Linked DNA regions of Arabidopsis thaliana. The protein of the gene in region 2 interacts with the protein of the main gene of each other region in a pairwise test. Each region holds a gene or a part of one and is shown on either strand. Other genes may lie near its edges. The genes, in order: SK32, AT3G11150 and GSK1.

The links.
Region 1: the proteins of AT3G11150 (region 2) and SK32 interact in a two-hybrid assay, tested with the Arabidopsis thaliana proteins (one large-scale study listed by BioGRID).
Region 3: the proteins of AT3G11150 (region 2) and GSK1 interact in a two-hybrid assay, tested with the Arabidopsis thaliana proteins (one large-scale study listed by BioGRID).

What each region holds. Positions count from the first base shown.
Region 1 is NC_003075.7:289,891-301,518, reverse strand, and holds SK32 (shaggy-like protein kinase 32), read left to right. Parts: upstream 1-4,039; 5' UTR 4,040-4,516; coding exon 4,517-4,579; intron 4,580-4,857; coding exon 4,858-5,103; intron 5,104-5,182; coding exon 5,183-5,275; intron 5,276-5,419; coding exon 5,420-5,479; intron 5,480-5,567; coding exon 5,568-5,840; intron 5,841-5,968; coding exon 5,969-6,043; intron 6,044-6,129; coding exon 6,130-6,186; intron 6,187-6,266; coding exon 6,267-6,407; intron 6,408-6,531; coding exon 6,532-6,582; intron 6,583-6,662; coding exon 6,663-6,758; intron 6,759-6,837; coding exon 6,838-6,921; intron 6,922-7,026; coding exon 7,027-7,129; intron 7,130-7,326; coding exon 7,327-7,403; 3' UTR 7,404-7,931; downstream 7,932-11,628. Other genes in the region: ANL2 (Homeobox-leucine zipper family protein / lipid-binding START domain-containing protein), read left to right, coding at 236-410, 502-863, 1,407-1,778; BSK3 (BR-signaling kinase 3), read right to left, coding at 8,423-8,674, 8,755-8,868, 8,980-9,132, 9,223-9,411, 9,508-9,593, 9,671-9,776, 9,882-10,015, 10,114-10,249 and 2 more.
Region 2 is NC_003074.8:3,489,667-3,499,290, forward strand, and holds AT3G11150 (2-oxoglutarate (2OG) and Fe(II)-dependent oxygenase superfamily protein), read right to left. Parts: upstream 4,988-9,624; 5' UTR 4,934-4,987; coding exon 4,148-4,933; intron 3,650-4,147; coding exon 3,320-3,649; 3' UTR 3,138-3,319; downstream 1-3,137. Other genes in the region: AT3G11130 (Clathrin, heavy chain), read right to left, coding at 15-123, 206-304, 404-531, 610-688, 789-877, 1,417-1,621, 1,957-2,001; AT3G11160 (uncharacterized protein), read right to left, coding at 6,571-6,822, 6,915-6,967, 7,074-7,133, 7,235-7,268, 7,353-7,391; AT3G11165 (uncharacterized protein), read right to left, coding at 8,280-8,409, 8,500-8,516, 8,598-8,665, 8,767-8,862, 9,098-9,203, 9,386-9,424.
Region 3 is NC_003070.9:1,941,439-1,953,134, forward strand, and holds GSK1 (GSK3/SHAGGY-like protein kinase 1), read left to right. Parts: upstream 1-5,307; 5' UTR 5,308-5,421; coding exon 5,422-5,526; intron 5,527-6,684; coding exon 6,685-6,777; intron 6,778-6,990; coding exon 6,991-7,050; intron 7,051-7,135; coding exon 7,136-7,408; intron 7,409-7,497; coding exon 7,498-7,572; intron 7,573-7,646; coding exon 7,647-7,703; intron 7,704-7,876; coding exon 7,877-8,017; intron 8,018-8,128; coding exon 8,129-8,179; intron 8,180-8,286; coding exon 8,287-8,382; intron 8,383-8,499; coding exon 8,500-8,583; intron 8,584-8,710; coding exon 8,711-8,812; intron 8,813-8,892; coding exon 8,893-8,979; 3' UTR 8,980-9,412; downstream 9,413-11,696. Other genes in the region: AT1G06380 (Ribosomal protein L1p/L10e family), read left to right, coding at 3,686-4,450; ARA-2 (Ras-related small GTP-binding family protein), read right to left, coding at 9,651-10,080, 11,028-11,248. UniProt on the Arabidopsis thaliana protein: Phosphorylates BSK1, BSK3, BSK5, BSK6, BSK8 and BSK11 in vitro. May mediate extracellular signals to regulate transcription in differentiating cells.

The DNA.
Region 1 (11,628 bases), on a different chromosome or scaffold from region 2:
ATCAATTTTTCATGTTTCTATTCCTTTCTTCCATGCGGCCTCGTATATCCCGTCTCTATCATCTTCAAATAGTATAGTAAAATATTTATTTCAATTGTCTTATTATCTTGAATTTTTATCCTATTAGCTTCTATTAAAAATTAACATATTATCTCATCGTGCAAGTGTATTTTTAAGTAGACCGTGTTTCGGTTGGTTTGCTTGTTCATATGGATTTGATTTCCGGTTTGTGCAGGTCACGTGGGTGGAGCATGCAGAATACGACGAGAACCAAATCCACCAGCTGTACAGGCCGTTGCTACGGTCAGGCCTTGGTTTTGGCTCTCAAAGATGGCTCGCTACACTTCAGAGACAGTGCGAGTGTCTCGCCATCCTCATTTCTTCCTCCGTTACATCTCACGACAACACATGTCCGTTTCTTACACACTTGTCATTATGCTTAACATAATTAATCTTGTCATTATGTTACAAAACTTTTGACCATTTTACATGCAAAAGCAGCAATAACGCCTGGTGGTCGAAAAAGCATGCTGAAGTTAGCTCAACGCATGACGTTCAACTTCTGTTCGGGAATCTCGGCGCCGTCGGTCCACAATTGGAGCAAGCTCACTGTTGGAAATGTTGACCCGGACGTTCGAGTTATGACCCGTAAGAGTGTGGACGATCCAGGAGAGCCTCCGGGGATTGTTTTGAGTGCTGCCACTTCTGTTTGGCTACCTGCTGCACCACAGCGTCTGTATGATTTCTTGCGGAACGAACGGATGAGATGCGAATGGGATATTCTATCCAACGGTGGTCCCATGCAGGAGATGGCCCATATCACCAAAGGTCAAGATCAGGGTGTCTCTCTGCTCCGCTCCAATGTAAGTTTTTCCATATCACGTACCACTCCTGGTTTAACATTGCTATTCTAACCGGTTAGTAGATCTTAGTTCAGTAAAACCGGCCTATAGAATAGAGTTCCGGTTTAGCTAAGAAGTGTGTGTGATTGGTTCGAGTTTTGTGGGGAATATGGATTAGGTGATTGTGACGTTTTTGTCCATGGAGTTGATAGTGGTATGAAGGACAAAAGAGTGGATTGGTAAAGGACAAGTTAGGAATTTGGGTGATATCAAAAGATGACACTATAATTTCAATTTATATTTGTTTATTAGTAAGTAGAAAACAAAAGTGTCACAGCTTTTGTAAGCGTTTCAAAAGTCAAAATTAATAGGACAGTTTCAACCTTTACTTAGCTTCTGTAGTTTTTGACTTTTCACCACTTCCTTTTTTTTTGTTGGGTCTATCTGAAAAGTTGTTTTGACTTGTTTTTCTTTTAACCATGAAGCGTTACTGTTTGGTCAGAATGGCAATTCTCGTAAATAAACACTTTAGCTGAGGTTGTTTTGGTTTTGTCAACTCTACAGGCAATGAACGCGAATCAGAGTAGTATGCTAATTCTTCAGGAGACATGCATTGACGCATCTGGAGCGCTTGTAGTATACGCGCCTGTCGACATTCCCGCCATGCATGTGGTGATGAACGGTGGTGATTCATCCTACGTGGCTCTCCTTCCGTCCGGTTTCGCTGTTCTTCCTGACGGAGGCATTGACGGTGGTGGGTCAGGTGATGGTGACCAGCGACCGGTTGGTGGTGGATCCCTCTTGACAGTGGCGTTTCAAATCCTTGTAAACAATCTCCCAACGGCAAAACTCACGGTTGAGTCGGTGGAGACTGTCAACAACCTAATATCATGCACCGTTCAGAAGATTCGTGCCGCTTTACAATGCGAAAGCTGATCTTGATCAAGACTGGCGCGTGCGTGTGTTTCTTTTTCTTAATGAATTGTGAATTTTTATATAACTTGTTTTTTTGGTCTTGTACTATGGGAGGGAGGGGGTGTCGAGTCAAGAACGAACCGCGCGAGTGGGCGAGATCCAACTCCTTTGTCACCGTGATGGGACAACGACGTAAAAGGGTTCGGGTCCGATCACGGTGGAGGAGTTGGTGGTTCGGGTATTGACTGGGGTTTGGAAACCCCCTCTTTACTCTTTTTGTTTGTGTTTGTTATTTTTATTATGTAGCGCGAGTAAGCCACACGCGTGGGGTGTGTTGTGGTTAGAAAACGCGAACTGTGAGATGATGATGTTATGTTGGATGGGATCTGTATCGTTTCAAGTTAAAAAAAAAAAAAAAGCTGTCTCTCGTGGAGCATTAAATGTATTTTGCAGGCATATTCATTCATTTAATGCTATACCTTGTCTCCTTCCTTTGCATGATATGGGGCTTACGTATTCCGCCATTTTCGTTGCGCCACGTCATTCCCTTGACAGACTGGTGCGATGAACCAGACGTTACGCCGTCGTTTTCTCCCTTCTGTTTGTTTGGTTCTTTTCTCTTTCTCAATATGTTGTTTTTAAGTTGCAGACAGGAAAAGAAAAACGTAAGCAAGTGAATTTAAATAGCTGTACGGTGGTGGGCTTTATTTTAAAGCCCTGGCCCGTTATGGCTAATGATTCCTAGATCTTATAACATTAATTGGGCCTACAACAATATCATGTGCCATTATTTATCCGTTCATTTTGCAAAGACTTTAGATTGATACTGCACTAATAAGCCCATAAGGCAAGTGAAAAATGTCATTTAATCCCCCAACTTTCAAAAAATGGTCATTTTATATATCAACTTCGTATGTGGCCGTTTAAAACATGAACTAAAGGTTGACTAATTTTTTAAACATGATCTTTCGTTGACCAGACTAAAATAGACATGCCGTTATCAGTCATTAACGGAACTTCTAATGTCCGTTATCATCCGTTAATTTTATTAGTCAAGTTTCAAATTGTGGCCATTTTAAACATCAACTTCTTATTTGGCCATTTAAAACATGAAGTAAACGTTGACTACCATTTAAGACATGAAAAATTCGTTGACCAGGCCAAAATAGACATGTCTTTATCAGTAGAACCTAGAAACTCGTTAATGACTGCTAATCTATCCAAAACAACGTCGTTTGAGAATAATCGAAAGAACATAAAGATTTTTTCCATATGAAATTTCCATATCAAAAAGTTTTAAGCAGAACCCAAGAACATAGTTTGATATAGAGATAACCGCAGTGCCAGTAATTGGAAGCAAATAAAGGTGTTTTCGTTTATATATTTGTTTTAAATTTTAAAAGGAATCATGGAAGCAAATTGAAGACTCATTATAAGATTGTTCGTCTTGTTTGAGCGGTTGTAGAAATAGATTTGGGGAACTGGAGTTTCATTTAGAAAACAATCCTGATTTTCTTTGGATTATTCTCAAAACAAAGTCATTTTAGGGATACTAATAGAGTCGTTAACAAGTGATAATGAATGTTATAAGTTCTTTTAATGAATGATGACAACATGTTTATTTTGGCTTGGTCAACGAATTTCTCATGTTTTAAATGGTAGTTAACTCTTAGTTCATGTTTAAAATGGCCACATATAAAGTCGATGTTTAAAATGACCACAATTTAAAACTTGACTAATAAAGTCGTTAACGGATGATAACAGAAGTTAGAAGTTCCGTTAATGACTGATAACGGCATGTCTATTTTGGCCTGGTTAACGAATAATCATGTTTTAAAAGTTAGTTAACGTTTAGTTCATGTTTTAAACGGCAGCATACGAAGTTGACGTATAAAATGACCATTTTTTGAAAGTTGGGGGATTAATTGACATCTTTTCCCATAAGACAATGGTTCAATCAGTAATAACCACATCCTCATTAACATTCCTCAGATAGTAAACTAACCAATATATGTTTTATTTTACTTCGTTTCTCAATCTAATAGATTACTTGAATTGTTTATAGATTACCTCATAGGATGATGATAATTAATAGTTTAAAATTTTGAACAGAGACATTATTAAAAATGTCTAAAAACAGTAAGAAATTACTAAAATTATCTGTTGCAGGAGCAAAAAGAGGGAAGTGGTCAAAGATGGTCAAATGAAAATAATACAGTGCCCGCATATTCCGCGTGGGCTTAGATGCAATCATTCAAAACCCCCAAATCCTTTTGCCTAATCCCGGGATACGTAAATAGACAAACAATACAGGGGTACTTTAGTAATCACAGCTTGTCGAAATCGGGCGGATTCATCCTAACCCGTCGGATGAGCTGCTGCGATAAATCAACGGTGAGGAGTCAATGTTTGACCAAAAAAAGAGTAGAGAGAGATAGAGAAAGAGAACGAGGCTGGCATGATTGGCTTTGCCCACGAGAGAGAGAGAAAGATTCCACCTGGGTTGGGTCGTGAAGAAAGAGAAGAAGAAACCGAAGAAGCTCGAAGAAGAACGAAGGAGATTCTTCCTTTCCCCAGATTTTTCGTTTGAAGAAGAATCGAAAAACTTAGATTTTTGGTTTTGCTTTCGGAGTTATTCGAATTTGAAATATCTGAATCTGTTGATTCATTTATTCTCCGCATGAAGCTGTGTTGGTGAAGTTTTTCGGAGATTTAGGGTTTCTGAGTTGTTCCTCGTTTGGTTGGTGAATAAAGCGAAGATGAACGTGATGCGTCGTCTCAAGAGCATTGCTTCGGGTCGGACCTCCATTTCTTCGGATCCTGTAAGTATCCATTTTCAATGTCTCTCGTTTCAAGATCAGATTGATTTTATATTTCTGATTGTTGAAATTTTTCTCTCATTCTCATCCAGAAATTACGGATTGATGTCGTTTATAGTATGTTACAAGTCAAATTTAAGCTTTTGAGATCTTTAGTTTTAGATATTCTAGTAAATGCTTATGTTTTTGTATGAATTTGATTATCTCTGCTGTTTCATTGATTTTGGATGAGTATGTTGATGTTGACCTGACTAATTTCGTGTTTTTGGTGTTTGTTTTAGGGTGGGGACTATGCGTTGAAGAGAGCTAAGCTGGATCAAGAGAACGACAACTTGTGTGTTGATCCAATGCAGGTTGACCAAAATAGTTCTTGTTTTGAGATGAAAGCTGACGTTTTGTCACAAGAAAGTGTTGCTGGAACGTCAAATGTGCCTGCTGTATCGGAAAAACCCGTGGATGATCAGCTTCCCGATGTTATGATCGAAATGAAGATTAGAGACGAGCGAAATGCCAACCGCGAGGATAAGGTGAGTTGCTTAATCAATGTATATATCGTCGTCGTGATCTCCATTAGCCACTGCTCACATCTTCATTTGGCTTGTGAAGGATATGGAAACAACTGTTGTAAACGGCAGTGGGACCGAAACGGGACAAGTTATTACGACGACAGTTGGGGGTAGAGATGGAAAGCCAAAGCAGGTCATTCAACTAACTTTTTTTCTGATTGCCGTTGTGTTTGAGAAAAGCTATTAATCATGATAGTCATTTCTTTTATGAAAAGATTGTTTCTCTTTTCACTTCTGTTGGGTGTATCTTTAATTTACTCTTTCTTTCTTGTTTCAGACTATCTCATACATGGCCCAGCGAGTGGTTGGAACCGGCTCATTCGGAGTAGTGTTCCAGGTAGGTGGAAATTCTTATAGCAGGAACATAACTAATCCTTAACTATTTGTGTTCCCAGAATTTGACTTTCTGTCTGATTTTTGGATAGGCCAAGTGCCTGGAAACGGGTGAACAAGTTGCAATTAAGAAGGTTCTGCAGGATAAAAGATACAAGAACAGAGAACTTCAGATCATGCGTTTGCAAGACCATCCCAACGTTGTGCGGCTGAGGCATTCTTTCTTTTCAACAACTGACAAGGATGAGCTGTATCTCAACCTTGTCCTTGAGTATGTTCCCGAAACTGTATACAGAGCATCGAAGCACTATACCAAAATGAATCAGCATATGCCAATTATCTTTGTTCAGCTCTATACTTATCAGGTGAGTTCTATTAGCTCTCCGGTTACTCGTTTCTAGTAATCTGTGTAGCATAAAGCTACAAATACATAGGAAATTTATAATTTCACTTATGCTGATTTTGTCATTTCTGTTGCTTTGTTGGATATCAGATTTGCCGTGCGCTGAACTACTTACATCGCGTGGTTGGGGTGTGTCACCGTGACATTAAGCCACAAAATCTACTGGTATAGTGTGAATAATTTCTGCTTAAAGGTTGGTAAGACGTATGAAAGGATAATTCATTGATTCTCTTATGATGTGGCTTTCATAGGTTAATCCCCAAACTCATCAATTAAAAATATGCGATTTTGGAAGCGCAAAGATGTTGGTATGTTCATTTTTTTTTGATGAGTTCTTGGAGATGAGTTATCATTTGAATAATGATGGCTAACACCCTTTGCGTCTCAGGTACCCGGTGAACCTAACATATCCTATATATGCTCCCGGTACTACAGGGCCCCAGAACTTATATTTGGGGCGACAGAGTATACCAATGCCATTGACATGTGGTCCGGCGGTTGTGTCATGGCAGAGCTTTTACTTGGTCAAGTAAGTATATTATACATTGTAGAGTTTCGGTTATGATGAACCATTTTATTTTGATTGATCAGTTTTCATTATTACTTCGAAATAACATTTAATCTGATAACAACTGTTGATTTTCTACCCGTAGCCACTGTTTCCCGGGGAAAGTGGCATTGATCAGCTGGTGGAGATAATCAAGGTACTTAACCTGATCCCTCGTGTTCCTTCATCTCTCTTCTATATTTAATTTACTAGTTTACTCATCTGTACATCTACCAGATTCTTGGGACGCCTACAAGAGAAGAAATACGGTGTATGAATCCGAATTACACAGAGTTCAAGTTTCCTCAAATCAAAGCTCACCCGTGGCACAAGGTTTGTTAAATAATCGCAGGTGCCTCTTTGGTGCGTGTGCTTGTTCAAATGAAATTTAATGTAGCATATAACTCTTCAGATTTTCCACAAGCGAATGCCACCTGAAGCAGTAGACCTCGTCTCAAGACTCCTTCAGTACTCACCAAACCTTCGTTGCACTGCAGTAAGACTAAATCCTGCTGGACACCACAAAACTATATAATCTCCTTGGCTGATTTGGAATTTTCTAACTCAAATTCTACAAAACACTTTTTTTCCATTTGTTAAGTTGGAAGCTTGTGCACACCCCTTCTTTGATGACTTACGGGATCCAAATGTTTCACTGCCAAATGGAAGAGCACTGCCTCCATTGTTTAACTTCACTGCCCAAGGTCAGTACATATATTATCTTTTACCTTAGCTTCATCCTTACAAAAACTGTGAAGTTATCATTAGCCGACTTTGTTTAGATTTCACAATCATATGTGAAGAGTAGAAATTGCAGCAGAATACAAGAAATGTTTTGACGGATTGGGTCTACATTTGGTTCTGTCACATTGATTTGTTGCCATTGTATGTGACTATTCAGAACTTGCGGGTGCATCAACAGAGCTGCGACAGCGTCTAATTCCAGCACATTGCCAGGGAACGGGAAGTAGCTCTTAGGATCATTTATAGCGTGTCCAAATCCAGCTTTCTTTCTCTCCCTCTATTTACTGCAGTGTGTACATCAATTTTGAACCACTTCTGCTTCCAAGCTTTTGTCGCCGGAGGAGAGATTGGAAATCTGTACGCCGGGACCTGATGAGGTGTGAAATAACTGGGGTCATGAAGCTTCTTCTTCTTCTTCTGACTGGCTTTTCTCTCAATTTGCTATCCTTGTTATTTTCACCTTCACTTTCATTTTTTTGTTTTTTTTTCCACAAATCTGACCCCCCTTATATGTTTGGTGTATCATTTTTATGTGTTTGTAATCCATCAAGATCATTTTCCCTTGCCCTAATATTGCAAGCTAAGATTCCGTTTCATGTTCCTCTCTAAGATGGTTTTTGGGTGAACAAATAAACTCTTAACGACATTTTTCTATTGTATCTCAGGACTGGCACAGATTCCAGGTAAGCTATTTAACTGAAATGCACATGTTGTTTAATTAAAGTTGAAAAGCGAGGAAGATGAATGAAGAGTTAACTAACTTCACAATCGGACGAGTAATTAAACTATACTGTAGGAGTCGAAAGTCCTGTAACTTTGACACGAATTTGTGTTTGGTTAAAATTTTGAATAATTTACTCAACTATTGGAATTTAACCACAAAAACCCCTTTCACTGTCGAATATCTCTTTAGTCAAAAGACAAGAGTTCATACATGTTTAGTCTGTGTGACCTATAGATCAAAAGAAACAAAACCCTCTTTTGGTTTCTGCAATAATGGGTTTTTTAGTACAATAAAGTTTCAGGAAATGGATTTCAAAGCTAATAAAGGAAATGACTCCTTCAATTCAATGCCCATAAAAAGAGGCACAAGAAGGGCAAAACACCTCATACAACCAGAAGAAGAGGGTCTATAGTTTTGCATTGCTCTTGAGTGTTTTCCCATCATTGTGCTCAAAAGATTCATACCCCTTTTACTTGGTAAGATGTTCTTTCATCTTTCCCAACAAGAAAAATCTTAAATGCTATATATCTTACTTCACTCGGGGAACTCCATTCATCTTTGCTTCAAGGTTCGAGCCCTCTTTCAGTGCGATTTGAGATTCCTTCTCCATTCCCAGGATACCAAGGGAAGCAGACTGCAGATATGATGCGACATGCCACACGGGAGAGATCACTTGAGCCTGAATTGCATCATCTAAAGCTTCTTTCGGCATGTCACTCATTAGGTAACACAGACTACGCCGAGCACACACTGTTGGAGAGATCATTCCTCCATCAATAAACTGTCAAAGTTTCAAGAAAGATAATCAGGCTAATGCTATGTGTTTGTCTACTTCATTTTATGTACAAAACAAAACTCGACCTGTGTGTAACACTCGATGGCCTCTCTAAAGTCTTTTTGCCTGAAAGCCACATCACCCTTCTTCTTCGAGTTCAAAGACTCTTGCATCTGGTCTGTCCACATATGAAACGAGAGCTGCATTGCCAAACCAAAGTAACGCAACACCATGAAGAACCAAGAAAGAAACTATTCACTGATTAACAGAGCCAAACCACTGATTCTTCCAACATAATTCTGAAAAGGTACCTCATTGGTGACACCCTCGTCGTCTTTGTATCCAAGTTTCTCCAGGATCTCAAGCATAGCGGTCAGGTCCCTTCTTGAACAAGCCTCACCAAGAGGGGACAGAGGAGAGACTGAACCACTGTGAGGTAGACCCATTAGAACATGAGACAGGACCTGCAATTTACAATACAAGGAAAATTATCTCGAGTTAACAAAAAGAAACTTGGTCCAAGTTATTCTAATGGCTCGGAAATCAATAGAAACCTCTGTCTCCTTCTGAAGAGGTGTCAAGGCAGTCACTAAAGATTTGGTGTTTGGCCGCTCACGAGCTTCATACTGAAGACAACGAGAAGCTAGGCGTACTAGCTCTGTACCATCACTATCAGAAAACTGCCCATCTAGGCAAGAATCAGTTAGCGTCTGGAGATTTCTGTCTCTAATCAGATCAAGGGCCTGTATAAAACAGATTGAAAGAATCAACCTTCACCTTTTCAAGTAAAAGCTGCAATCTCGTATGGAAAACAAACTTATTATGGCTAAAATACTTACATGGCTAGGAGGTATATGTTTTCCGCTGAGAAGATCAAGCAGAAGAGTGCCAAAGCTGTATATTACACTCTCTGGAGTAATTCTCCCTGTAAATACAATAACAAACAGAACGTGCAACTTAATCTCAACCATATGAATCTTGGAGAAAAAACCAATGATGTACCAGTTCGTAGATATTCAGGAGGGGTGAAAGCAAGATTAGTGCTGTAACTTTTTCCATCCCGACTATTCTTCATCAAGCCAAAAGTAGATAGTCTTGGATTGCATTCCTTATTAAAAGCCCCTTAAGGCGTCAGAGAATGAAGGAATAGCATAGAAACATAGACAGGTTTCGAAGAAAGAGGAAAAACTGCTTATATATAACTAATAAATACCTCATCAAACAAAACCCGGTAAGCATTGAGGTCGTGGTAAAGAGTACGGCCTTTGCTGGTGCAGTATTCAAGAGCTTGTGCTAGATATAAAACAACTCGTAGCCTCATAGTCCATTTCATAGGTTGAGTTTCCCCTAGTAGCATAAAAAGTACACTTAGACACCATAACTTCCAAGACTAGCATGGCAAGATTATTAAATGAAAGGCTATATATAGGAAAAATGATTCTCACAGTGAAAAAGGTGTTTGGCTAGTGTTTCATTAGGCATAAACTCTGCTACAAGTAACCTCTCGTCACCTTCGCAGCAACATCCGAGTAAATTGGCCATTCTCTCACTCCGTAGCTGACCAACCGACCTCGCTTCCTCCTGCACAAGGAAGAAGAACACATTCTCAACATCAAAATAAAAAGAGATGAAACAAACTACAATTTCCAAAGATAAGAACATACCAAGAACTGTCGTGAATCAGGCCAGGCCATTCTAGTAAAACGCTTGACAGCAATCTTCTTTTGGTTCTCCAATTTCCCTTTATAGACAACATTTGGAGCCTTTTCTCCATGTTCAGATACAATATACTCCACGGCAAAACCAGAAGTAGCTGCCTTAAGCTGTTCTAAAGTATACTCCCGGAAATTAGGAACATCAGTGATCTCACTACTCTCTCCATTATCTGCATCAATCAGACAATGTCTTATAGCTTCTTAGATCCAAGTAGAAAAAACACTAATTCATTGTCTTAAAGAAACTAACCAACATCAGGAGCTTCAAGAACAGCTGTCTTGTGTGAAGTGTTCCTGCAACAACTCAGGCTAGAGCATTGACCTCCCATCTAAATAAAACCACGCTCCAAAAAATATTCAAAGACTCTTGCTTTTTTCTCAGCCCAATGGAAAGGAAAGGTTTTGTTTCAATTAGGAGATGTCTCTTCGTAAACCCAGAAGCTGCAATAAAATTATACAGCCAATGAATGATCTTACCAAATCAAATCTTCAATAGTTTCAAAATCAGTGAAGTAGAGAAAAAAGGTCGTACCTTTCGACTCTACTGAGTCAACTCGACTAGTTAGACTCAAAATCGAAAGGGTAAATTTTGGGAATCGAAGCAGAAACAAAGATAAAAAAAAAAACCTAAAGCTGGAGCCAATCAAGAGGAGAAACCTATTATCACCACCACTAAGCTACCATTTGGATCGACGAAGAAATTGTAGGTTCCTCGATTTCATCAAAGAGGTCGAAGGAGAAAACAAAACCAAGACAAGCAAATCCACGTGCTTTACAATAATTTTAAATTAAACAAGAGAAAAAAACGAAATCGAGACAGTATCTCAAAGGAATCGACATGAACGTATGTGATTCATGTGAAGTAAACCATAAACAAATCCCAAATTGTCGACTATTATTTATTCTGATAGTATAAAAACTCTAGATCAGATCACACAGTGAAGTTTAGTACTAGTATACGTGTATCTAATGTATACACATCTGTATTATTGTTATTGAAAAATTGAAAGAAGAAGACAGAGAAAGAAAGATAGAATAAGCCAAGAATTAATTTTACCGACAAGTTGATGAAATATTTTAATGGGTGTGAGAGAAGAAAGAATCTGGCCATTAACCTTATAGAAAGAAAAAAAAAGAGTTGATTAATAAATTGTTTGTCGTACAGATTTTTGGGGTTTTTTATTTTCTGGAAAATAATTAGCACCGCCTGTTAAAGCAAGTGGTCTCGTTCATAGAACAAGACAG
Region 2 (9,624 bases):
TAGTTTAAGCTAACCTGGTTGGGCACCAAGTTCAATAACATGCAGCTTTGATGTTATCTGCCCAGCATTAAAGCTCTTGCTTGCAAATGATATAAGAATCGAAGGATTCTCATTCCCAGGGACCTATCAATAATAATGTCGCTTGTCATACTACAGTTCAAGATCCGACCATGGAATGAAGTAGCAAAGGTATCACATAGTTTACCTTAAACTGAGCAAAAGATGCAGCATGTGCTTCAAGGGCCTGGCTCCGCTGTTGATCCACAGAGAAAAGCTGCATATTTCCTTTCACCAATTGTGGTCTCTACAGAGGATAATAATGACAAGATTCCGTCAAAAATATACAACATGACTGCCGTTATGATGTCTTAATTCAACCTAATACGTGGTGCAGGAACCCTACCTCAGGAGAGCCAGGGGCAATTCCAATCAAGACCAACCACTTCTCATTAGGAGAGCACTTATAGTTTATAATTTGATTGTTTGCCAAATTAGCCGTTCTATCAAACATCTTAACTGGCTCAGAATCACCTGGAAATATCGAAGCAAAAATGAGAAACAACATATACATGATATGAAGAAGCTGACAGTAAGTTAAAGATATAAAACCTTCAATTGACCAATGATACACAGAAGTTTGTGTGACCAGTCCCAGCATCTTAGGTGTGATCCACTTCCAAAAAGCAACCTATAATATCCAAAAAATTCAGACCAGTAAAATCAGAGTCTGTCTGAAGAGTACAACATGAAAGATAATCGGGTTACAATTTGTTTGCTTCAAAATTCACCTGCTCAGGCATCTGATGTGACTTCAACTTTGCCTTTGCTTCAATGTTAAATATCTGTAGATGATCCTGAGTAGTTCCTGGAACTTGAGCTATATACGATACGAATTTAAGAAAAAGTTAACAACAAATTAAGGAAGAAATAAGTAATAGCTTATACAAGGAAACATCCAGTACAAACCAAAATTTCTAGTTTAACTACACTAAGCTTGAGACACAACACTGCCACGAGAAATATAACACGTGTTGGAAAACAGAGAGCGCTATACTGATGTTTTCTACAGCATTAAACATGCTATCACCCCAAATCCAGAAAAAGAGTATAGGACTACAACATAAACTCGAAGAGTGTAGTTACACTTCCATACTACTTTAATAAAAATAGGTTTTCTATCAAGTGACGCATCACAACATGGACAGAGTCATTTAAACTTCAAATAAATCAAAACATCCTATCCGTAATAAATAGCATATGTACAGTTAACAAAATGAAGGAGAAGCTATCAATGGTAGTTCTGGAGAAAACTTTAATAGGAACCACTTATGGGTCTTATAACTGATCATACACTTCAAAAGGAGAATCTTATGGGTGTTATAAGTGATAATGCGATCGAAGGAAACAGTGTAATACCTTTTAAGGCAAGGATCCTCGAGTTTGGGTTCATAAGAGCAGAATCAGCAGTTATAGGCCTCCTTAAAGGCTGCATCGGCATATTCATATCGATAATTACAACACTGTTCTGCGGTGCCGTCTCTCGTACACATATGTACTTATCAGACTCCATAGTAACATTTGTAAAGGTGATGAACTGTTGACCGATCCCAACGCTCGGAAGCTGGAAAATTTCCAAAACAAAAGTAATCAATTGGCATAGTTCATTAACTTAGTTACAAGATCCGAGTAGATAAGCACATTGCGCAACACAATAACTTAAAACTAAGGACTATATACATTCAGATAACACAGATCTGAGCGTCCGCAGAGAAAATCTGATCAGAGAACTTGATCTCAACGATCGGGTAGAATTGAGAACAGAATGAAACTTGAATCAATCATATAACAGTGTGAGCAGAACCAAATCGATAGAAATCAGAGACTACAACTATAGAAACATGTTAATCGTCCAAAATTTTAGCTCGATTCCCGGAGATTTAAAAACAGAGAACTCACCGTTAGGACCTCCTTCATAATGATGGGCGCGTTAGCAGCCGCCATGTTTGACCTCAGATCGCGGCGAGAGAATCCGGGGCCAGAATCAGATCCACGGAAAGGACGGGACCGTCAACGGCCGAGCGATGCGAGAGAAACTAAGGAAGATTTGAAATCGCAGCCAGATCTGAGGCAAGTGAAGGAGAAAGGTGATGATGGTGGAGAGAGATTCGTTTTTTTCTTTTTGGAAAGTGAGAAATGACGAAATAGCGATCCAATCGGAGTCACTCGTCGAATATAAGGAGAGAAACCAAAGGAGAGACGACGTGCTACAAGTGCCTGAGCTGTACGATGTGCTTTTGCCAAAGTTACGGGTTCGGATAGTATTCGGGTCGAGTTTCAAACCGCGTAAATCGACGGGTCGGGTTTTGTCACGACACACACTACTTTTTGGGAATTTTATGCGTATGTTTTGAGCAATGGTCAATGACTCAATCATGGTTAAAAATTAAGATGAACACAAACGAGAACGAAGTTTGAAATAAATTTTCTAAATATGGAGATGAAACAAAAAAAAAAAAACTTTTTACCAAAAAAAAAAAAAGATATACGAAATTTTCTATTATATCTTATCAAAATTAGGGTATGAAGACCAAAATATTTAAATTTATGTCGATTTAAGTGTTGCATGAAAAAATCGTATAAGAAATTTACGTCGATTTAATTAGTGTTTAGTGAAGATTGTATTACTTATAATTTTAACTCGAATTAAATGATATAATCAATTTTGATGTATATAATTCATTCTCACAAGAAAATTAAAGAGCAACACCAATATGGATCACTAAATAAGTAAACATGTATACGTAGATTTGAAGTCATTCATTGATATTCTGCCTCAATGAGAGATTAAAAGCCAACACTGTATTTCCTCATTTTCAAAAACAGGATGCTATAAGCGTTTGTGTCACCTTCTAATTATAACAAATAATCAACATTGGAAAACAAAAGTTATGAAGTAGAATTTGGTTATGATCTCAAAAGACTCAGTTTTAAAGTACATCATCAAAGTCATAGATTCTTCTATATAAAATCTAGGAGTTGAGTTTAGTGTGATAGAGTCATTGGTGTAACCTAAAAGTTTGATTTTGAAATAGTGACAGTTTTGATATGAGTATATATGAAAAAATTAGTTGAATGATGGAGTGACTATCAAAATAGAACATTCTCTGAACTGAATCGAACAAAAACAAAAATATCTCAATGCTAAAATGCTAACAATCCGCTGAAAATCAAAAGATTTTATGGGGGAAAAAAAGTAACAACAAGAACTATAGTACCAATTCAACCCAAGAAAGAAACAAACAAATCAAACATCGGTTCGTCAATCTTTTAAAGATTTGATTCTGTATCTGTCAAGTGGATCCCTGAAGAAGAGACGTTCTTGGTACACTCTCCATGCGTACTCCTTGAAACTAAAAGGCCTAAATGCCCTTCTCTCATCACTTCTTGCTCCTCCATCTTCTTCCTCCTCCTCTGCATACTCTTCTTCTTTGTCGCCGTCACTGATCATATCCTTCAATGATGAAACCATACTGTCCATGGGAAGTGTAAGCATCAATGTCATTGTTACACACTTTACTGGACCATCTTTTTGTCCTGAACACAACACTGGTCGATATTTCACTCTTTTGACCTCTCCATTTCTCCAAACCTGCCAATTTTAAGTTGTTTGTTAGCTGTTCAAAAGTTGAAAACTATATTGTAGAAAGCTGTTAGGTTTTGACCTAAAAAAAAAAGAATTGTTGAATTCTATAGGACACTAAGTACAATTGCGATGTGATGTGTATAAGTATTTAAATATCGGAAATTTCCAAATTCTTATTTCTTTCCCAATGCCATAAATCTGTTTCAAACGAAAAGTGAAAACACATTCCCCGGTTATGCTCCACAATTGTTGTTGTTGTCAACAATAAATATCGGAAATATCCAAATTCTTGTTCTCTTTTTGAACGATGCGTTGGAAAACATTTATTTTGGATAATGTTTAAAATACATTAAAACAGCCAGTTAACGGTATAGTGGAATAAAGTTCCATTACAAAGGATGATAATTTGATAATTATTTAAGGAAGACAACTAACCAATTAATTATAGATAAATAAAAGAGATATATGTGTTCTGTCAATTGTCAAAAGCAAAAGAGAACTAACCTGAGCAATGTCACCCAACGTCACAAGAACCGAGTCAACTCGGGGTAAAACGGACACCCAACCAGACTCGGTTAGCAAACAATACTTCTGTTCCCTTATCTGATACTGTAAACAAACAACAAAAGGATAAAATCCGTTGGTTACCTCCGGTTCATCATCAGGAACACCTTGGTTAACCCACATCAGAGTATTAAACCGGGTTGAATCATATCCAAACCCAAGTGCATTCGCCAGCATCTCTACCGTCTTCAGTCCAACTTTCTCTAGAGTCCGAGTGAACTCACGGAGCGAACTCAGATTTAACTCGCTCGAGTCGGTTGAACAGTCGGCGTCAAGGCAAAACGATGGCGTTTCAGCATCGGCTTCGTAGCCTAGCGGCCATTTCTTCGGAAACGATGATTCCTTCTTCTCTTCACTGAGCTCTAAGAGCGAGAGTGAGTCAGACTCGGCTGCTTCAGCGATCCCAGGAGGGAAAAGAATATCGGAGTCATCGTTAATGAGTTGGAAATAGCCGAAATCAGTCACGGCGGAGATAAGATCGTCCCATTCAAGTCTATCTCCGGCGGAGAGAGATACCATCGGAAGAGAAGGGATGGAGCGACGGTTGGGGAGTGAAAGCAAAGGAGGGAGACGGTGGAAAAGACTGGAGAGAGCGTCAACTGCTGTCTCCGATTTGCTGGTGGTGTTGAGATGTGAGCATGACGGGGTCGGAGGAGGCGCCGCCGTGGCTCCACCGTGCTTGATCAAAGGTTGGTGGTGGTTGAGGTGAGCTGAAGAGAAAGCCATTGAAAGATGGATGTGACTTTGGAAGAGGCAGAGCGTATATGTGAAAACATATGTATAACTTGCGTGTACGCATGGAATATATAAGGCTTTACTCACACGTGCGGGATTATGTATAACCTAATTTTCTACCATCTTATTTGTAAAAATTAAAAACAATATCACCATTCACCAAGTACATTTATCATGTTTTTTTTCTTTCAATGACATAAGTTTTGCATATTTATTTTACAATTATTATGTTATTTTTTCCGATAACACGTTTTTACATGCTTGTTTAAACTAGAGGCGGCAAATATTATTTATATGTGGGTTTGCCATTACAGATTTTAGCAATTTTGTTAAGAAAATTGTTATCTAACAACATAGAGGAATGATTAATTACGGAAATTTGTTTTTTGGTTGAACCGATAAATATTCTTATATGTGTTTATTAGTATTTTAGAATCGCAAAATGAAGGAATACACAAATATAACCAACAGACAAGAAAAACATGATAAAATCATCTTTATACAAAATTGATATTTGTTGAATTGTTGATGTGTATAATGAGGAAAATATGATACAAACTAAGTAAAAGATCTTTTGTATAGTAAAAATTTGGGAAAACGATTCTCTTTTTTGAAATTACCACAAATATTATATTTTACTAAACATGTATTTCCATGTATGAGTAACCTCATCTGTACGTGTATCTATTAGAATCATAAAATACTTATCATGAGAATGTATCTGCATAAATAGATGCTGCTAGCTAGGTGTACAGAGAAATACTAAAACAAGACAAATATATAGTTCGAAATTCCTATTTTGGTAGTGGAAAATTAATAGAAATAATATTACATTTATTTGGATGTAAATAAAAATAATAACTTAAGGGATTTATTTCGTTAATAAGAAAAAATACCTATTAAATAACCAATCAAGCTAGTGTATGGAATGCTGTCATGATCAAAGAGTTTGTAATATAGTTGTTATTTGCATGCGCATATATATAACTATATAAAGTTCCTGCACTGTTCCCTTGTAAAGTTTTGGTTAGTTGTCGAAAATATTCTCAACTTTTTCGCGTATATTATTCCTAAATGTCCCTTACTTTGGATATGGTTGTCTATGGACCATGGTATCAATCCAGACTAGTTGCATAATTATCAATCGTTTCTCTCCTTTCCTTCTTAAACGATTTCTTCAAACTTCTGATCACACAAACTCGGTGCTGTATCTAGCAGTGTCAATGGAAAGCCTTTGCTTAACTCAACAAGACTTTCAAGTAAAAAGCACCAAATTAAGCTCTCGATGTCGAGAAAAATACTCGGATCCAGTAATGGAAATCCGTTGGTGGAGTTATGAATTGAAACAGTACTTGTCCGGTGTCGAAGTAAACTGTGTGTGTGATTTACTCGTTGCGCGACATTTAAATGATTAGGTGGTTATTATTAACAATCCATAAACCAGGCATCAGAATCATCGACAGAAACAGATTCTCTTAATTGATGATTATTCTGGTCTCCACGTTGAACATTTACAAAGCTTGAAGATAGTTAGGAATCAGACCAGATGCTTTTCCTTAGATCATCCCAAATACTCCACAATGACCGGATACAAAAAGCTTGAAGATAATTAGGATTTTTCCTTCTCCCTAAGATCGATCAGACCACATGCTTTTCCATAGATCATACCACATCTTTTTCGTTAGATAATCCCACATCTTTTCCTCCCATAGATCAGACGACCTGCTGACTCCCATAGACTCCCATAGATCAGACCTCATACGCAACATCTTTTTCCTTATATCAGACTCAGACCACATCCTTGACGTAATCCTAAACCACTCCTTATCCTTTAGTTCTGGCCACATCTTCTTCCTTAAATCGACGTGGTCTCCCGTCCACTGAAACACACATAGAGAAGAAGATGAAATAATAGCAATGGTCACAACAACGATGTCTTTTTATTAGTATTTTTTTTTCCTTTCTAACTAACCTGTCGCCGATCTGCCTCAAGTTCCGATACGTTTCCCCCAACCACAATATAACCTTCACACACACACAAAAAAAAATAGCAAGCTGACTAATTTCGACTCGACTCGTAGAAAGAATGAAAGAAAATCTAAAGTATAAAATATATCTCATCGATTCATACCTAAGCCCAATCCCAGAGCCATCCCTGGACCTCGAATTAAAAACATCTCTCTCTTCCACTCTACAATCACAAATGATATCAACAAAACGGTCAAAAGATTTTTGTTTTCCTTGCGACAAATACCTCGAAACCAAACCTACGGTTGCAAATTTGAACGTTACCTCTGCTACTGCGGGACGTATAGAAATTGCGGCACTGTAAGGATTTCGTCTTGATCAATAGATCGCACAAAGAAAAGAAAAAACAAAAGGGATAATCATGAAAAAATCTTCGATTTACCTGAGCGATTACGGATCTCAGATTGTTGTTCGGTGGCATGATCGAAAATTAGGGTTCGCCTCTGATTTGTGATTTTCTTCTCCTCTTCAAAAAAATGGGTAACATTGTCGAGAGTAACATTGACGGATATCTCGAGAGTTCCGTGGTTCAATGGGCTTATACTATTGTGCCCTAGCTGAGTTACTCTCATTGTTTATTTCATTCACAATCAGTTTATATTCAATTTAATAATATTAAAAAAAAAAACTTGAATCCCAAAGTCTGTTCCATTGTTACTCAATTAATGTCGACATTCACCTGAAATTTTATATGTACAGTATGTACTTTGTTGACAAATTATCCTTGCACTGAATTACGGAATTGATCATGAATGTAAATTGTGTGCCTCTAGTTATTTTCTGATATGTTTTTTTTTTTCATTTTTTTTTTGGTAAAAGGTTAAGTTTTATACCATTTTTGATTTTGGACAGAATTACAGAGATTACATGAAACAGATTAAAACAATCTACAGAAGATAAATACAATATTACTACTCAAATTGTTTTGGATCGCTTCTAAGCGTTCAAGACCAAGTTACGAGATGAAACACCGATTCCGAGCTCGCAAAACTTAGAAATTTGCGTGGTTGCCACAGAGCCGAAGCACTGGAATCCTCATCTTAGTTGCCACGAGCTAAACTATTCGAGGGCCGTCCACAAAACCTCGATATAGAAGCCTACAACTTCTCCACAAAACCTCGATATAGAAGTCCACAAAACCACGAGCTAAACTATCTGATTTCTGATATGGTTTTGGTCTGTTTGATTTCACACAACACAAATCAAACATCAGCACAACCATAGATTATAGTATTAAGTTTGTTTCTTTTCCCACAACATCGAACAAAAGACGAAACACAAAGCAACATCACAAGTTCACAATCACAGATTATAATGAGCATGTTCGTTTAGTTACCGCCGGCGGTTGCGTTTTGCCGCAGGTAGTTGCGGCAACTAAACGAACATAAATAGCTGCGTCTGCCGCAGCCGCAGGTAGTTGCGGCGACGAAACGAACAATCTAATTAATTCATTTTGTTCACAAAAAAAAAAAAACTAATTGTCTGCTTTCTTTTCTCGTGGAGTCAATAAAAGGACGAGCCAACTAAACGGATCCTGCTGTACTTCCTGAAAGAGTGAAAACACTTTAGTTTTTAAGAAACAAACAAAAACTCATAAAATCTCCCAAATGTTTATAGAAATCCATACCACTTCGGGAAAACGTTCTCTCAGATCTCTCTCCATCGTTCGAAGATATTCGAATACCTGGATTGTTTCTGGTGGAAACAAAAAAAAAAGATCAAGGATTTGTTTTTTTTCCAATCTCTAATTAAGAAAAAAAAAACTAAAAGAAATTGACGAAATATCTGAACATTACCCAACGCACAGAAAGCATAAAATCCGTTCATTACCGATGGCACAAAATTCTTAAACTCAACGCCGACGTAAACAATTCTTTCGGCTCTTTTCGACCCTTCAAAATCGAAAGAAGAATCACAAATCGAAACCCCATGTTCCGAGAAAATTACACTTGCGAATTTTGATAGATTATGATCAGAAGAACGTTACCTCTGCTACGACGGGGAGAAGAAAAATTACCGCGTGACCTCGTAGAGAAATTTCGGCTCTGTAAAGATTTCGTCTTGTTCAATAGATCGAAAAGAAACCAACACAAAAATGAAAGAAAAAGATATAAATCTTCGATTTACCTGAGCGATTATGGATCTCAGACTGTTGTTGAGTGGCATCATCGGAAATTAGGGTTCGCTCTTCTTTTCTTCTTCGCCTCTTATTTGTGATTTTCTTCTCCCCAAACTGAAAGAAATTCATGCGGAATCAGAGAACGTTACCATGGTGGGATGAAGATGAATTGCGGCACTGTAAAGTTTTAGTCTTGTTCAATAGATTGCACAAAGAAAGTAAACAAACAACAACAAAAAAAAAGACTGTAGAAAAGAAAAAAAAAAAGGATAATCATAACGGAATCTTTAATTTACCAGCGCGATTAAGGACCTCAGATTGTTGTTCGGTGCCATGATCGGATATTAGGGTTCGTTCGCTCTTCTTCTTCTTTGTCTATACGCGATTTGTGAGAATAAAAAAGGTCGGATCTTTTGAGAGTTCTGTAGTTTAATGGGCTTATACTATTGGGCCCTAGCCCAAATGAGCGACACTATTGTTCATTTTGTACAAATCTCTTGGGCTAATTTATTTCAGGCTGACCAACTAATTTGGT
Region 3 (11,696 bases), on a different chromosome or scaffold from region 2:
ACTTATAGTAACTAAAGAAATATATATAACTAATATTATATATGAAATAAATACAACACTGTTAGTAAACACATTATATCTAATTTTAATTACCTCTAATTATGAAAATTGTATAAGATTGTTTTATTAGTGTCAAAAGAAGTTAATTTTCAATACAATGTTAAGAGTTCTCGTCACTCGTTTTATTAGTGTAGTAACCATGATGGAATCTAGAAAACAATGTTGTTGTGGGGACAGGATTTGAACCTGTGTGGCCGCAGGTTATGAGTCTTGCTAACTACCAAACTGCCCTACGCTCACCGCATTGAAAAATAATTGAATGCGCATCTATATAAAAAGATTCGTTTTACGGCATTCATAATGCTTAGCGTTCTACAGATCCGATAATATCGATTAAACTTATAATATTCAACGTAACAAACTATAAACTAGTTTTTTTTTTTTTTTTTTGGGACAAAACAAACTATAAACTAGTTAAAATTAAATTTCCAGCAATATGTTAATCTACAAGAAACTAGTCAATCCCACAAAAAATACGATCTGCAGGACTGTTGTTTTCGATATATCTGATGGATCCACAGTTATAATGTCACATCACTTAGCGTTGTTAAATCGTATTGTATTGCAAGTACACAGTTTTGATTGATCATAAATTCATAATTAAACATTGAAGAATGGTATTTCATATTGCTAATGATGAAATCTCTATAGCAGTAGCATGAAATATAAAAACGTACGTGGGTTAATATATAAATATTGTCAATTAGTATTAAGTTCAAACTCACAAAACAGTATATACGGTATGTAAAAACCCCGTATAGGAATCCATATATAGGTGAGACCTAGCTACATTGAAACAACAAATCTTTTAACATTGATTGTACGTAACCAGAGAAATTTAATGTGGTAGCTACCTTTTTTTTTTTTTTTTTTTGTGGTAGATAGACAACTTAATTTCCGTGTGGGCATCAATCCCTAAGGAAAACCAGACATATATGAGAATCAACAAACGTTCCTTGATCCAAAACATGATTTATTTTTTCTTGGGTTCTGATGTTGAAAGTTGTTGAGATTTGATCATGAAACTTCGCGGGGCTATAAATTAAAAGCTCTTAACTCGAACATATGATCTAAGAGAGTAAAACAGATTCAAAATAAAACTCAAATAGAATAATTGAGAATTTTTGACATTTTCGTTGAGTTCGTTTTTTTAACTTGTGTACCGACCTGATCAACTAGTGCATTCATGTGGTTCAGACAGAAACACCATAACATCAAGGTGTTTTTTGGTAACAGGAAAAAAAAAAAAAAAGCTACACGCGAAGTTAGACCGAGTCAGTATTTTTTAGCATAGATGACTAGTGGGGATTGATTTGATGTATCTATAAACCTTGAAATGTGTGTGGAAAAAACTTTTGACCTGTTTCATTGCCAACAAAACAGATTTTAGTCTACTAAACGAATAACATCAGCGTTGGAAAAAAATGGTGGTCCTGCTTTTCAACTTGCCTCTTGGAAGGAATAGTGGATCATAAAACCTCTGAGTTTTGTTGCTTCCGATGCAAACAATAATATGTGACGCGGTCGTGCTGGCCAATTTCTAGCTAACTTTGATGCCAATCCTAAAAGGTCCATTAAGAATTGGTCTGACTCATCAAAATCTCCTAATGTCTTCGCTGTTTCAAAATAATAAGAAGAAGAATCCTTAAGAATCGCATAGAAGCAAAAACTGTGACTCAGGGGCGTGATCCATTTACCTTGGTGTGTAGTCGAGAAATCGCATTGGAATGTTACTATGGAGAGTGGAATAATAATAATAAGGAGTCGAATGGCTTGGCATGAGAGAGAGAATGCTCTTTACTCTCCCTTTGTATCCTTTTTTCCGATAAGTCTGTACATCGCATCCTTGGTTCGTGTCCATTGAGAAAACAAGAATTCCTTTTAGCACAATTAGAAAGAAAGAAAAAGAGAGTAACTCATAAACTAGAGTGTTTAGTTTTTTAACTTGATAGAATAAACTCATGTGTAGTGCCTCGGGATATTGGTAGCAGGCAAAATGAAGACTGGAAGTCTTAGTTTAGGAGACCACTTGATGATATGGTTATTTCCAGGGACTTGCTTCTCTTTAATGATTGATGATAAATCAGATGCTTCCATTTGAGCAAATGTATACCCAGAGAATATCAAAGCTATGGGTAACACAGGCAGCACAAACCTGTCATTCATAATCAGAGTAAACGACATGGAAAACATAATTCACAATGAAAAGATGTTCCCATGTGTAGTTTACATTTATTCAAGTACATCCATATTACCTGAATTACTTATGGCAGAGTATGCTGTATATATCTGCTAAGATCCATTGGATAAGAGATAAAAGCTTTTGATTTGTAGACTTGATAATTCCCGCAATGAAAAAAAGTGTGAAAGTGAAAAGCATGACAGGAAATAGTACCAGTGCCATGAGCGAGTTCCGTAATAGTCTCCACCGGATGAGAGGAAGCTTCAGAAAATTGAGAGGCACAATGACCCATGAGCAGCATATCATACGGTCCAACAGACAGGTGAAACCGAGGACCAAAGACCTAACACAGCAGAAGCTAGTAAGCGCAATGAAATGTTCAATACAAAACATTAAAACTAACATTAAAGAATACAGCTGCAGAGTTAAAATGCAAAAACGAATAAAGAGGAAACAGAGGGATCTGGGATCTCTAACTCACTTCCGGTTACATCAACCTCTCAACATAGTAGGAACTAGGAACTATCAACATAGTGTAATGGTGAGCTGGCTTCACTTTGTTCGTCATTAACCTAGGCAAATCTTATTGGAATTGCAGTAACATCAGATTTTGGAGAAGCCTATATTCAAAATCAATATTAACAGGTTCTAATTTTATCTTCTTAGTAGACCAAAAAAGCTTTTACATCATCTGCAAAAGTAACAACACATTGTTAATACCACAATTCAAGATTTCTTGTAAAATAATGAAGAAGTATACTGACCATTACGTAGGAAGTAGTATCAAGGCCCGTCACATGAAGAACTTTATACAATGGGACGCAATGTCAAATGACCGCACGGCGCACCTATCCATTATGATCAACCTGAGAAACACTCAGCAGCATAGAATTGACACAGGTTCAATCACTCACCACAAAATCAGAAAATTAAAGCGATTGCAATTTATCTTTATTTTGGAAACATTACCAGAATACGGTGCCAAGGGATTGAGATAATTGAATAAGAATATCTGCCTCGGAGATCGAATTCGCTCTGATTTAGAAGAGCGTCACTACACGAATCAGCGTTCTTCCGCTTCCTTGTTGCCATTGAAGAAGACGCAGCCTACAATGAGTTGAAGAGGTACAGAGGAAAGCTCTTAATTAACCGGAAACGGGAAGCAGCGTCGATTTTCGCCGGCAGTCGGGGAAGCGCGAAGAGTTTCGCCGGCGGTCAGAGAAAACGATTGAGCAGATGACAATTTTACCCCCAGAAAAAAGGATAAAGTGGCGCATCATTAATAAAACGCATATAATTTTTGAGTTTTACAAAAAAAAAAATCGAATAAAATGTCGAAAGAAGAAAAAAAAAAGAAAAAAATCGTAAACCCTATAATTTTTGCTCAGAACCCTAATTCCGCAAACGTAACCTGTGTTCATTGCGCCGTCTTCTCACCGGAGAATGAGTACTACTACTACTACGGCTGCACTTCCGCAGCGACACCAGTCGAAGGTTGACCCGCAGAACGTTAACAGAGCCGTGAAGTCTCTGCTAAAATGGTGGGACTCCAAATCCAAGACCGAGAACTCTGAATCACTCGAGAACGACGGTTTCGTCTATCTAATCGTGACACTGAAGAGAATCCCTCAGTTGGATCGTACTAACCCCTTGATGATCCCTCTTCCTCATCCTCTCATCGATCTGGTCGCCGAAGATCCGCCGGAGCTCTGTTTGATCATCGACGACAAACACAAGAACAAAATCACAAAGGAAGCGGCTTTGAAGAAGATCGAAGCAGAGAAGATTCCAATCACCACAGTTATTAAAGTCTCCAAATTGAAATCCGATTTACGCAAATTAGAGGAGGAGAAGCGATTCGAGTTGTATTTCGCGGAGAGGAGGCTAATGCCGATGTTGCCGAAGCTGTTGGGGAAAGAGTTTGTTAAGAAGAATAAGACTCCGATTGCGATTAACTTAAGGCATGGTAGTTGGAAAGAGCAGATCGAAAAAGCTTGTGAATCAGCTTTGTTCTTCGTTGGTACAGGTACTTGCAGTGTTGTTAAAGTAGCGAAGTTGTCAATGGGAAGGAACGAGATTGCAGAGAATGTTGTAGCGGCCATGAATGGGATTGGTGATTTAGTTCCTGGTAGATGGAAGAATGTTAAATTGTTTCATCTCAAGTTACTTGAGAGCTTGGCATTGCCTGTTTATCAATCAGTTGCTTGATGAATTTGTTTAAAGAAGCTGATGGATGATCTGGTTCCAGTGAGTCACAAGTTTTGGTTTGTTTTCTTAGTGGAATTTGTGATGCTGTAATGTTTAAGATAATGCCTAGACTGAACAAAACTGTCTAGATTGATTAGAGTGAAACAGATGGTTTTAATACAAATTTCCATGAGTGGGTCTTTTGATTGATTTTACTGGTATCTTCTTTTGTTATGCAGATATATAGTCACATGAATTCTCTAAAAAAGATGGTTTTTGGTGATGTATTGGAAAGAATATTAGTTTTCCTACTCTATTGAATTACTCTCCACAAAGGTAGATTCCATTGATCTTTCTTTGTTTGACAATTGTTCTTGTTCGATATCACAGTAACGGTTATATATCTTTTCACTTTCCAATCCCTTTGACTCAGAGTCTTATTTTTGTATAGTTTACGTTCCCCACTACTGCTTGTTAATCTTACATTTTCGTAAACTAGTCTCATCGTCATTTTTTTTAGCCCTTTGCAACTTAAATTTTATCTTTGTATGAATGCTAACTGTAATTCTTTTGTTGGTTAGTGTAATGAAAAAGAATCTATCGTTAACTATTGTCTTACAAAGGCAACACTTCAGGCTAAAGGGACAAAGAAAAGTCTCTTTAAGTTAAGCTTAATATCTAAATTGGGAAATATGATTGGAGTATTCATTCATTTGATACCATTATTATTCAGTTAGAATATTTAATGGAGTTCTAACTCAACTTAGTAATTTAGTTATCATTAAATGCTAAGGAAGTGTTTATCAGAATTTTTCAGTGCTTTATCAATTAAAAAGTAGTTTTCTCATTGGACCGTTACATTCACGCGCTCTAGTCTTCCGTGGGTCCTCCATTGTCTTTGAACCATTTCTGAAATTTAGAAGCAAAGAGAGAGGAAAAATTAGACTTTACTCATTGTTCAGTGGTTGAGAGAGAAAAGAGTAAAAAAGCACATGGCCTCATTACCATTGGGGCCTCAGCCTCATGCTCTTGCTCCGCCGCTGCAGCTTCACGACGGCGACGCTTTGAAACGCCGTCCTGAATTGGATTCTGATAAGGTTTATTTCTCCCCGTCTCTTTGTTTTGTGTGTTACTGTTACCGTCTGTGTTTGGTAAACAGTGCATTTGAAATTATCGTTTGGTGGCTGTTCTAGATCTACTCCGATCTAGCTCCTACTTTCTTTGTTCTATGTCTTAGTTCAGTCGAATCGATCTATATTCTCGTGCTCTTGTGTTTGTTCGTCGCTTGTATTGATCTGAGCTCACCGGAGAGTTTTTTTGTTTCTTTCTCCGACGAGGCGTTTTGATAGGAGACTGTGATTTTTACTTCATTTGTATGCATGCAGTAGCTAGATTACTCTTGGTATCTCCCAGCTACTACTTCAACCTTCTCTACCGGAGATCTAAGTAGCAGTAATCTTCGAATCTTGTTGAAAAATTTAGTGTAAAATAATTTGAGATAGTTTCTTGCGCTTGGGAAACTTACATTTTCAGTAAACTAGGTTGAATATTTCCCCTTCATATTTGTTTTTGGATATTTCGATTGTTTGTTTCAACACTGTTCACTTTCAAGTACAACAATTTGCTTGTTTGGATATTATTTATTTCAACACTGTTCATTCTACAAAGTACAGTTTACTTGTAGATCTCTGAATTCACTCTCGGTAGGTTTCGGAGTATTCCTTTAGTTATGGTTTTCTTGGCCCATTGCTTCTCTGTCTCTGTCTCTCTCTCTTTTCTATTTGCCATCGACATTTATTCTGAATTTTGTCTTATGGCTTGTCCTTCACTCTGGCAGAACTTCTTCCATTGACTTGTATTTTGTATCTATGATTTTTTTTTTTGTTCTATATCTAATACCCATAAATTGTTTGACGTCTAAAATCACTACATTTTTGAACTTCTATCACCATTGTTTACCTCTGGTTAACCCATGCTTTACTTTATTTTTCTTATTCTTTCTGCATCTTGCTTGAGTGCTTCTATTGGCTTGACAACTGGTTAGTTGGTACATTTTATATGTGTTAGCTTCACGTTTTCAATATAAGTTAATTCCGACCACTTGTATAATAGCAATAACAGCATTCTCATACAGTCATACCTATCCTGAGGTTTGTTGAAATAATCGGATGCAGTAAATGCTTGCCATCTCTATTCCACCTTGTAGTTGATCAAAATAGTTTAATGTCTATACTAATATGTGAGGTGGATTGCAGGAAATGTCTGCAGCTGTTATTGAGGGAAATGACGCTGTTACTGGTCATATCATTTCCACTACTATTGGAGGCAAAAACGGCGAACCAAAGCAGGTTTGATGCTAATGTTTGCAAAATCTCTTAGATAACTAACTAGTAGTTAACACTTACGGTTATAGCACAGTACCATGTGTAAGGTTTCTGCGGGGTCTGGGTTATTCATTTCGCATCAAATGCTCCAGCAAGTGTTACTTTCCCATTAAAACCCTTTTTCAAGTCAAATTAATTCATCTCTCCCTTACATGATCTTCATTCTGTCCCCTACAGACCATTAGTTACATGGCTGAGCGGGTTGTTGGAACAGGTTCATTCGGGATTGTTTTTCAGGTATTTTGTGCTTCTCTGTACTAGCGGTTCCAGGACATAAATTCTCTTCTTTCTTTCTGATCAAGTCTGAAATTTACGATTTTAGGCGAAATGCTTGGAAACTGGAGAATCAGTAGCCATTAAAAAGGTCTTGCAAGATCGACGCTATAAAAACCGTGAGTTGCAACTAATGCGACCAATGGATCACCCAAATGTCATCTCCTTGAAGCACTGTTTCTTCTCTACAACGAGTAGAGATGAGCTCTTCCTCAACCTTGTTATGGAGTATGTACCTGAGACTTTATACCGGGTTTTGAGGCACTATACTAGTTCTAATCAGAGGATGCCAATTTTCTATGTCAAGCTTTACACATATCAAGTATGTACTGTTATTTGCAGTTAGTTCTCACAAATATTATAATTTATTAGAATTTACTCTGAAACTGATTTGAAATATCTATTGTGCAGATCTTTAGAGGTTTGGCTTACATCCATACTGTTCCCGGTGTTTGCCACAGAGATGTGAAACCACAAAATCTCTTGGTACGTTATCTAGCATGCCATGTGGTTTGTAATCTTGACTATTTCTGGATCTCACTTTCTGGTGCATACTGTAGGTTGATCCCTTGACCCATCAGGTTAAGCTGTGTGATTTTGGAAGTGCAAAAGTATTGGTAAGGGTGTTATCTTTTCATTATCTCACCTTTTTTGTGTGTTTTCGGCTTGGTTATGTATCTACGCATCTAGTTCACTGAGCTACCATATAAGTGTGAGTTATACCATTAAGTGCGAGCAGCATGTTCTCTGTTTTGGTAACCCTTTTAAATTTTTGGTAATTCACTATTAGGTCAAAGGTGAACCAAACATATCATATATCTGCTCCCGTTATTATCGTGCTCCAGAACTGATCTTTGGCGCCACAGAGTATACAGCATCCATAGATATATGGTCTGCTGGTTGTGTACTGGCAGAGCTTCTTCTGGGCCAGGTTAGTGTGGATTTTTATGCGTTAATTACCTTGTTAAATAAAGAGTCTCTGCAAAATGCAAAAAGTGCGCACCCAATGTTATATTAAGCCAGTCTCTCTCTCTCTCTACAGCCGTTATTTCCAGGAGAAAATTCAGTTGATCAGCTTGTGGAGATCATAAAGGTGAAGTCTCCTTTATTAGACTAATGGATGTGCTCTTTTTTGTCTTTGGTATTAGACTAGAATCTAGTAAATATGTTACCATAAGTACACTTGCTACCTTGTTTTAGGTTCTTGGTACTCCAACTCGTGAAGAAATTCGATGTATGAACCCGAACTACACAGATTTTAGGTTCCCACAAATCAAAGCTCACCCTTGGCACAAGGTAGTTCATCTCACCTTTTGTTCCTGGTTAAGCAATTACTGAACTCATTACCTACACAGTATACATTGAAGCGATTCATTTATAGCATCAACCATATACTGTACCCTTGACCTCCAGGTTTTTCATAAACGGATGCCTCCAGAAGCAATAGACCTTGCATCTCGGCTTCTTCAATATTCACCAAGTCTACGCTGCACTGCGGTCAGTATCTCCCTCTTTTTTTTATAATCGAAAGTAGTCGTCAGTGATAACTCTTTTTGAATCTTCCAAGTGTTGGATAAAGCTAAGATTCATTTTAACATTTGTCTTGTTCTCTGTCTATTTTTAGCTCGAAGCATGTGCTCATCCGTTTTTCAATGAACTCCGAGAGCCAAACGCCCGTCTTCCAAATGGTCGTCCATTACCGCCATTGTTCAATTTCAAACAAGAGGTAAAAATCAATAGCAAAGGATGATGTTTCTTTAGTGGAACTTCAACATAACCCAATTTGTTCTTTGGATGTGGAAACAGTTAGGTGGAGCTTCAATGGAGCTAATCAACAGGCTAATACCTGAGCATGTGAGACGACAAATGAGCACAGGATTACAAAACAGTTAAAAACTGTGCATGTCTGAAGAGAAAGAGGAGAAAAGCAGGTTTACTACTTTTATTTGATAGTTGACAGGTTCAACAGTATATTAACCACGACTATTATCAGCTTCTATACCCGTAGTAAAGTCATATTCAGCTTTTTGAGAAATCAGATGCTGATAATTGCGTTTTTTTTTTTTTTATTCCGTAGCCTGGAGAGTGGAGAGAGACACTGTTCCTCGTGTATTTTTGTATATGTTTTTGTCTGTAAAACAATTCTGACAGATACGTAGAGACAAAAGAAAAACGAGGTGATAATATTAAACCATGTCATGTCCAAAAGATTAGCTACAGATGTTTTTTTGTTTTCTTCTCTCAACACAAAAGACTAGAGGGATAAATAATCATCCTCTTAAATTAAAAGTCGCTAGATCTATTTTCGAAATGTTACGTAGGTGATGATTTGCATTTCTTCAGTTTATTACAAGTTTACAAATTACAAGTGGTGGGAGTGTTGAAAACAAATTACCAATCATGTACTTAAATTTTAAAGGACCTTACAGGCCAAAGTTACCAAAGCATACACATGATCTTAAAAGTAATCGTTTCTTATTTCTTTTTTGATTGCAAGACCCAAAGAGATTATCATTTGTTGTCTCACCCTAACCAAATCAAGCCAAATCTACAATCCCCCCACTCTAGTTAGAGCAGCAACCCATTCTCTTAAGAACCGATCCGTCTTCTTTAACGTTTATCGTCTCTCCTTTTCCCGGTAAATCAGCCGACTCTCCTCCTCCATCAACACTTCTTTTGCTCACTATCTTGTGGATCTGAGTGAGCACTTCCGTGAATGCGTTTTCAACATTGGTTGCGTCTAGAGCTGAAGTCTCCATGAAATAGAGGGATTCTCTCTCAGCAAAGGCTTTAGCCTCTTCTGTTTTGACTGCCACCAAGTGACGCAGATCGCACTTGTTCCCTATAAGCATCACCACTATGTTTGGGTCTGTGTGTCCTCTTAGTTCCCTTAGCCATCTTGCTGCATTCTCAAATGTTGCGTGCCTTGTCACGTCGTAAATAAGCAAAGCACCAACAGCTCCTCTGTAATAAGCGCTTGTGATTGCTCGGTATCTATCATAGCATAAACAAAACCAGCATTTTCTCAGATGTTGTTAACAAAGATATAATAACAACTACAATAATAAGTTCAGTAACATTACAGATTAAGTACACAAAGTTAGACTATTTTCGATAACCATATTACATGGTATCCATCTACCAAATGGTTACTTTGTAAAGTTACAATCGCAGAGTTAATGAAGAATTCTGCTGCAAAATTCAAAATGTTATCTATGTCTAGTGCAAGACAAGACAGAGGAGATGAAAGAAATGTTGTTTTCAACAAGTATATTGGGTTCAGAAGTTCATCACAGACGAGCTCAGACAAATATCAATGTGTGAAACGGATGGAACAGCACAATACTAGTATAGTAACCGAGGTTTAGATAACAGATATCTACAAACAACATTTTAACAACGGGAATTGACCTAGACAGGAGAGGATTGAATAAGCTAATCAAGTAGACCCATATATGAGGGATACAGATCTATGAACAAGAATCTTACAAACACAGAAGCTATGCCACAAAAGAAAACCATTAGTAGCCCAAATGTGAATAAAACCTAAAAGTATATTCCGAGTAAACTGCAGCCTGCGAGCGATATTCAGCACAATTGAGATTCTGAACCATATTGAAAGTTGCTCAAGTCTAAGAGATTTACAAATTCAGACACAACCAGTTTCGTTCCGAAAACCAGAAAACTCTAGTTCTGCCACAAATAGTCGTAACTAGTAAACCAACAAGGAAAAATGAACAAGACACTTTGAACTTGTAATATCCAAATCAGGCTACAGATTCAGATACATAAATCAAACACCATGAATTCATAAACAGCGAATCCAACAAGAACTCAACAACGAAATCGAGCCAAAAAGGATGGTTTTTTAAAACCTTATCCTAAGGATTTTCAATAAAGTAAGCAGGAAAAAAAAAGCAAGAGAGGAAACGTAATCTGACCTCTCTTGACCAGCAGTATCCCAAATCTGAGCTTTGACGACTTTGCCTTCGACTTTAGTGGTTTTGGTAGCGAACTCAACACCAATAGTAGACTTGGATTCGAGATTGAACTCGTTCTTGGTGAACCGAGAGAGCAGATTCGATTTGCCGACACCAGAGTCGCCGATCAACACGAGCTTGAAGAGGTAATCGTACTCTTCATCGGCTCTGTAACCAGCCATCAGATGAGAGATCGAATTTTGGGATTAGGGAATTGGGTTTTACTGTGTTGCTTGCTGCTGTATTATTTGATGATAATGAATTAATGATTCAGATGATGACGATGAAAGCTTTTGTCGGGTTGGCTCTAAATCACCCTTTTTTCTTCTTCTTTTTGTTTTTGAACAGAAAAAGTTTAAATTTTTAAAAAGATGATTCCGCTTAATTAGTTGCACATTTTAGGAAATCTTCTCCATATATTGTTAACAACTTCCACTCACAACATAATCATTTTTAACTTAATACAGTTTTCTAATTACAATTTAACAAGATTAACAATAAACAGTATACACCTACTTTTCTAAAATTTATCTTCAGGATGAAGATACTATTTACTTTCATTTTCTTAAGTTTGGGTTTCAATGAATGTAGCTACTACTCCTTAGCTAGCAACCTGGAGAGTTTATAAAA